2 linked regions of the Styela clava genome follow. The protein of the gene in region 2 binds, or shares a complex with, the protein of the main gene of each other region. Links are inferred from orthologs where the notes say so. Each region holds a gene or a part of one and is shown on either strand. Other genes may lie near its edges.

What was found. Proteins that work in one complex are often made in the same cells at the same time.
Region 1: oligosaccharyltransferase complex subunit ostc-B-like (region 2) and dolichyl-diphosphooligosaccharide--protein glycosyltransferase subunit KCP2-like share a complex: the UniProt entries of both Drosophila melanogaster proteins name them as parts of the oligosaccharyltransferase (OST) complex. The link is inferred for Styela clava from reciprocal best matches to the Drosophila melanogaster genes CG9662 and CG31460.

Annotation. Positions count from the first base shown.
Region 1 is NC_135264.1:15,861,467-15,865,223, reverse strand, and holds the start of dolichyl-diphosphooligosaccharide--protein glycosyltransferase subunit KCP2-like, read right to left. Parts: upstream 2,353-3,757; 5' UTR 2,275-2,352; coding exon 2,271-2,274; intron 1,831-2,270; coding exon 1,754-1,830; intron 846-1,753; coding exon 637-845; intron 1-636. UniProt on the Drosophila melanogaster protein: Subunit of the oligosaccharyl transferase (OST) complex that catalyzes the initial transfer of a defined glycan (Glc(3)Man(9)GlcNAc(2) in eukaryotes) from the lipid carrier dolichol-pyrophosphate to an asparagine residue within an Asn-X-Ser/Thr consensus motif in nascent polypeptide chains, the first step in protein N-glycosylation.
Region 2 is NC_135260.1:2,438,692-2,442,448, reverse strand, and holds the start of oligosaccharyltransferase complex subunit ostc-B-like, read right to left. Parts: upstream 2,286-3,757; 5' UTR 2,187-2,285; coding exon 2,048-2,186; intron 1,666-2,047; coding exon 1,572-1,665; intron 318-1,571; coding exon 120-317; intron 1-119. Other genes in the region: phosphatidate cytidylyltransferase 2-like, read left to right, coding at 3,061-3,108, 3,745-3,757. UniProt on the Drosophila melanogaster protein: Subunit of the oligosaccharyl transferase (OST) complex that catalyzes the initial transfer of a defined glycan (Glc(3)Man(9)GlcNAc(2) in eukaryotes) from the lipid carrier dolichol-pyrophosphate to an asparagine residue within an Asn-X-Ser/Thr consensus motif in nascent polypeptide chains, the first step in protein N-glycosylation.

The DNA of each region.
Region 1 (3,757 bases), on a different chromosome or scaffold from region 2:
ATTTCTGTGCCTAACCAACGGGAAAAGATAATGTTTCATCTACGATAGCACTGGATATTTGTCCGCAACGCTCAAACAAAAAGATGCACTAGCTTTTTGATTAAAATCATTTCGATTAAAAATCATTTCGACTCTTTTCACATCATCCTGGACCCCAGTGCAGTCATCCAAGACGTTTGCGGACCCCAGTTAGGAAAACCTTGGACTTGACTCTGGTTTTAGAGATATTTCTCACAAAACTGGATAATACAGCCACAGGATGTCAGGATGAAACAAAGAAATCTTCACGTTATAATTTCTTACTCTCAAAATGCTTCTGAAGTTATTCATTACGTTTTAAGTAATTTTTTGCTGTTAAGGAACTGCATGTTTCTCGCAGAAATATTTCTTTCCAATTATGGGAACATCTTTATAAGTTTTCAGTATTGCTCTCATGTGATTTAGCAGCAATAGAGACAAATTTATCTAGATTGTCAATATTTACAAGTAACAGAGAGATTTAAACATCTTCATGAACATGCTATCGTTATTTATGAGCTCTTTTGAGTACCATAAAATTTTAGGAAACTCATTTTTGTGAAGTACATTCGACAGAGAATAACAGAAAAATCCAATATATGTTAAAGCGCAACTCACCAAGTTGTTACACAGACCCTGTGAACAAGACCAGACGCAAAACATGCAGCAGCGAGGCATCCAAATACCTCAGGAATAAATTTAGCTTGAAACATGTCGCCGAATAACATCATTTCCAAGTTACTGCAAGCTGTTAATAAGCAGCAGAACAAAAGAGAGCCGAGCACTCCTCCGCCGATAGTAAACCATTCTGATGACGCAAGCTGGACCTGGAAAAGAGAGAAAGATTTTATCAACATGTTGAGGAATTTGTTTAATTTGTTTCCTGAAAATTAGCGTAAACTTATTTCTAAAAATGACATGCGTAAAATATAAAAAATTTATTCTGGTCAAAAACCGATGATCGTTATTCTTTGCGGAAGTATGTATATCATTCCAACCCAGTCTTGATTATTTTTAACGAGGCCACATAGCTGTTTTTCTGCTTGTATTGGCATGAACTACCTAAAGCAGGGGTAGGCAACCTACGGCCCTTGGAGTAATATAATCTGGCCCGCAACGCTTCACTGAATTTAAGTAACAACGTGTAGACTAAATTACCTATATTAAAACCTAACAAGTATACAATTCACAATTACAAGTTTAATGATCCTATAACTTGATTATAATTACACAAATGGCAACAAAACGCTAAAAAGGCAAAGCTAAGTGCAAAGAGTTCGATGGTGCCGAAAGTATACGATTGGCATTTTTCGAGATGCAATGCAATTCGAGGAAATAAATCTATATTCTGTTCGAGAGATGTATCACTGCTTGATTTTTATTATAAAAAGTATCATCCGTTCGGATTTTAACTTTTTTTAAATATGTGCGGCCCGCCAATGACTTGCAACCCTGGCTTAAAGCCTCGGCAGTTGTTGGCACTTAAGTGGCCACAGTAACTTTGCTAAGAGATTAATCTCCTACATTTCTCAGTGTGTGAGATCACTCCTCAAGTTTCCACTGCTTCGTTTGAATTTATATAAATGCTGTTTTTATTTCATAAAGCAGGGATACATTACACCTTAACGGTTAATAACTAAGCCCACGAAAAGTATGGTTTGAACATTGTTAAAGAGAAGATTGTGCAGTATTATATATTCTCATTGACAAAATTTGATTAATAGCTCGGACTCACCTTAAATACTTGCATTGATGAAAACACAACGACAGATAAAAAGGTTGAGACAATAAACGAGTTTGTTGTGCCGAGACCTGCAATATAGGAAGAGTAAATAATAAGGTTGATAAGTGGATCGAAGATTTTGAGGGCTGTAAACTTGAAAGAGCTGTTTACAAAAGAAAATAAAAATATATTTATATTTATGAACTAACAAACATTGAAATATTGCTTTTGACTATGATTAAATAGCAGGTTAAAAGAACACCTGTTCCTCTGTAATAATTTTAAATAAAAATAATTCAAAATTTGAAATTTCCCTTTTTTATTTTAAATCTCGATTACAGGAAAAAGAATCTGATTATCTACTTTCCGGCTTCATCGATATATTATTGAAGCAAAACTAGTCTGAATAGTTCCAAAATGCAAGTGTTGGAGAATAATAGAAATATATTTTACGCTTAAAATAATTGCAGATTTCTACTCCCCAAAAACCGGAAAATATTTCAAAATTTTAAAAACAAAATTTTCTCACCCATTTTGACTTTTAGATTAAAAGTTTCTGGATGCTTTAATATTAAATACGTTATTTAATTCTAAAACAGTTAAGAAATAAATTTCAAGTGCTTAGTTACAGAAATGAATTTTCCGTCCACAGACATTCCATATTTTTATAAATTAACATGTATTATTCACATTATCGTCTATTGCTGATTATGGAGTCGAAATAAACTTTATAACTTATAACAACTCCGATTTGACCGGAAATCAAACTCATAACTTGAACCGCCTTGTGGCTCAAAAAAAGTCTGCAAACCCTTTTGAGATTCTGACATTACTGCATTTTATATAGTGATATCATGGCAGCATGAGTAAACCTGCTTTTTCATTTTGAATGAAAACATACGGTATAAGGCAAAAACGCACATTCTAGCATTTTTAATTACAGCCAGAGAACTATACAACCTACTGACTTAAGTTTGCAATACCAGTAAATAGCGCAGCCACCGGCTACCGAGTCCCTATACGCAAAATCCCTAGCTCATATTCTCAATTTAAAGATAGTTTTGTCATATATATGCAGCAAAATTAAAGCGAATTACAAAACTAACAAAAAAAAGCCGGGACCGCAACATAACACAGCGGCGCGAATAAATGCCACGACGTCGCCGACAAAATACCGGTTTGTTTATTTTCCCTTGATGATGTGGCGTGCTAATTGGTGCGTATCGGAGTTTTATCCCTTGCGGCGTTTTTGTCTGCATTGAAATAATATTTCAAATTACATTAATTCAATTTAGAAAAAATAATCTTGATTGAATCTTAATGATTTATTCTACGAAATTGTTTCATTATCGTCAAAATTGGAGTTTTTAGTAGCACCTAAATATCCTCTTGGGGCAGTAGAGTGCTCGTAATAATGTGGTGATTGGAGTTCCTAATTTTATTAAATTTGTTTCACATATTAACGCTTTCGTCTTAATTATAAGACTAATATTTCTTATTTAATGAGCAAAAATTTTTTTTTACCATTATATCAAATCTACTTTTTTGTTGTACTACCTGTCATTCGAAGTAAAAATTTGCGCTAATTCAAGATACGTAATTTTCAGACCACAACTGAAGATTCTCTGTAAGTAGCTGATGTGCTCTGCCTACGTAGAGCTTGATTTTTAAATTGGAAAGTTTTTGTATGAATCGCTCTGTGTTACAGTTACGGCAAGAGCTTTTTATTGCTCCAATGTGTTATTTTATTTATCTCATGAACATAGTACAATAGCGTTTCTGTCTTAAATAAGTTCGCTATGCATTTTCTTTAGTTGCGCGAGAAATAGCACCATGTCATTTTATGCTGTCAAAATCTTGTTTTCAGATCTTTCTACAACTAGGCTATATCTGTATATACCGTAACTACCGTCCAGTACACAGCATTAATTGTACACATCAGAAAGTAGATCAGACTACAGAATAGACAATTGGCCCTCCAGTCTATACGAATTAACTTTGTGTATATTGTATATA
Region 2 (3,757 bases):
TCGGCATAAAGAAGCTCTTTACATATCATTAGAAAACAGTGGCTGCTTATGTAGCCTAGTGCCTATTTCGAGGTGAAACGGTGAATAATTGTCGTAAAAAGAAAACAAATTCAACTCACGGTAGCTTCATTCTCATGAAAACTCTTGACATAAAAAAGCTGAGGATGACAGCAATCATGCCAATCACAAGTAGAAGGGTTCGATTGAGTTTTGGAATGTTCGGAGCGTTTGATTTATCCAAGATAATGTATCCTACACCACCTAGTGAGAAAAGAAACGAGGACGCAAGACCTTCCATGATGTATTGACCGTTCACCCTGTCAAAATTAAAAAGAATAAAATAAGCAGAGTTACAGGCACTGAAATGCCCAGAGTGAAAGAAGACTATCTGTAAGCAAAGTTACAGGCAACCACTAAAATTTCATGAGCTACTGGGACTACCGTATATGCTCGTTTCAACGCCCGATCTTGAATAAGGTCCCTTTGAATAGCTGCCCGTGTGAACAGAACATAAAAATACATAAGGACCGGTGCTCGAATACCCGCCCGATGTAAAAGCTGATTTTTCAGTGGTAGAAAACAATAGGAAATAACAGGGCTTTTGTCACAACCCTGTTGAATTTTAAGCGCTGGTAGATAACACTCACGCCTTAGGCGTCCAATTACATAACAGATAGCATTGATTACGTAACACCGTGGTTCTTAAACCGGGCGTCGCGAACCCCAAGTGCGTCATTTCAACGTGCGTTTGACGTGAATTAATTGACATGGAAAAAGGATTGATATCGTCAACTATTTGTTTTCAAAGATACCGTAATTTGTGTGTATAATTTTACTTTAAAAATAAAAAGCGCCCGTGCTTGAATAAGGGCCCGGTTAGTGAGTTTGGTTAAAAAAATATGGGCCCAGGCTACAAAATGAGCAAATACGGTATGTAGAATTAAGTAAGCATGATACACATGAGTGAGGCCAGATTACCACAAGACCTACGCTGATAGTCAGACGGAGCATTTTAAATTTTGAATTTACAAAAATATGAAAATTTGTACAGAAATGAGACTATGATAAAAGCCCTAGAAGAATCCGTATTGAGTAGTGTTGATCTTGGGTATAACGGGTCTGAATTACGGCCAAGTTATATATCTCAAGTAGCTTACATATCTCATGCTTACCACATCACATTATTTCTGTATGGTGAAAAAACAAAATACTGATACCCAGGGTGTAACAAATTGGGTGGCAATGTGAACTGGTAATATAGTTAGACATATTGTGGACTCTGTATATGAGATAGGATTCACATTTTTATCCTGGAGAAAAAAAAAGCCGTTATGGTGGATCACAGCTTCTTGTCAGGTAACCAGTACATATCGGGTATGGGATTAGTTAGCCAGGTATTGGTTTCAGATGCACTTCGTGGTGGAGTAAGCTGTAACCGACCAGCGGTTACGTGAACCACCCTGCAACGGAAAAGAGTCCAGCAATTCAGTTCAGATTCTAGGTGTAAAAACACTTTATAAAAATTTCATGGTGTAGATTAAAGAGGAATATTCAAAATATAGGATACAGACCTATAAGCCAGGAAGGCAACAGGTTTTGCGTTCCCTCTTTCATCGACAGTTTGTCCAACACTAGGTGGCTCAACAATGACATCATAAATAATTCCTAAAACAAAAACAGCCCGTAAGGTGGGTGTACTTTTTCTTTTGTTCTTTTGAACAATATATTTTTATTTATCGGATAAAACCCATTTCTACATAATACACAATACATGGTGTGAAATAAATGGATAGAACATGGTTTGTAGATGAGAAAATGTACAGGAAATTCGACATACTAACAATGTTACTAAAATATGTATAATTCTATAATATGGCTTGCATTGCTAAATCTGTACCTCGTGAAGTCTAAAAGTGACATTGGGCCGCCCTTAATGTAATTACAGTTTAACGCAACACAATGTTTTCCTGGTATAACGGAAAAACATCCGCATTTAACAATATGCTTCTAGAACGAAATTCAAAAACAGAAAATCCAGAAATCTCACCTGCCGTAACCAAAAAATAAGACACCATCACAGCGGCAAAAACGGTCATCGCTGATGGTTGAGAAATCCATGATGGCTTCTTCAGTTTTAAATTAGGTAATTGAAGTACAGAATACGGTATAGAATACAACTTTTCCATCTTATAAATTGTTCAAAAACTCACCAATGTCAGACAAAAAACGACGCTCAATCTACAAGATTCGCTCTCCGAAAATCGTGCATTCGTGGCAAATGAGAAGCAGAGCGTGTCTTTGTGTCAATCAGAAGAGCAATAGTGCGTGAAGTAGTGACGTCAAATAAATCTTACAAAATCACGGAAGTGTTTGTATTGTATAAACATGTTCATTATAGGATATTTTAAAATAATTTTTTTAATAATTTACAATCAAGAACCAGCAATATCAATATTAATTACGCTAGCCCCCGCTATGCAGCATATGATAAGATTTTCGTATTTATCCGAAGGGAGAGGAAAGGTATGATTGGTCCTAATCAGATGGTGAACCATGGGCTCTCGTCAGGTTACCAGCCCATATCGAGTATGAGATTAGTTTAGTTGAATTAGGCAGTTATTTTGCTTCAGATGCTTGGAATTGATGGTAGAGGATACGGTAACGGTAACCGACTACCGGTAGCGGTTGCTTGCTTGCGACGTCAAAGAGTCCAGACCTCTCGCACAAATTCTACATAGTCTTTTTTTTTCAGTTTATTTATTTTTATTTTTTTATTGTTGCTGATATTATCGTATTTTTAATGTTTATTTTCTGATTTGTTATTGAAAATAAACTTAACTATGCGCCACTTGATGACGTCAAAAATACGCCCTTCGCCATGGTTGAGTAATTAACTGTCAATCAATTGAAAAGTAAACAAATCGTCATTTTCCGTGTCGCTGAGGTTTTGTCCTTTTTCAAAGAATTTTGCTGGTTTTATTGCAGCAATAGATTCAAAGTTTAAACGATTGGATTACTGAATATCATCTTAAATTGGAGAATATTTAATAGGAATTGAAAATGGAAACGAGACAACGCAAAAAGCATTCAATTGACAAAGCTGGAGAGGTGAATTTATGATTCTTTTTTTTTTTAGTTTTTTTATGCCGACTGCGAACCCAGGTATTATTTTCGGTGCTGCCAACAACTGAACAATACCTTACGGTTGTGGTTCATCCTATTATGTCAGTCAGTAGTTTATTTCATCTCATGTCGAAGGTACACATTGTACAAACATAATCATTGAGAATGACTGAATGATAAAAAAAATGCATGCATTGCTGAGTGTGGAGAGAGTAAAACCAGTAATGTATATCGAACAGCTTCATCTATGAGGGCTAACTATGCTAAGAGTTAGGTATGCGCTCGTCATTGCACTTCTGATTATTCTGTGTGGGTTCCCAGGTTCCATTTATGTGTGGGAGGATTGGTGGACCCCGCGTCATTGGCCGCCGGGCTTAATAGTTGATCATGTAACTTCTACAGTACTAGGCAGTTACAGCTTTCTTTGCCATCAAGCCCATTCATCTGTAAGCAAAATACTTCTTGGTATGATTAAGCCGTCTTATGGGCTTTTCTCTCCCCTGAGATAAATATGAAATATGTAAAATCCTATCCACCGAAGAACAAATAAGGTTTACAAGCTGCAGAAGACCATCATTTTATATTGTCATAATTGCTTTTACCAAACAAATTTTTTCCCAGGAAAGAGATTCTG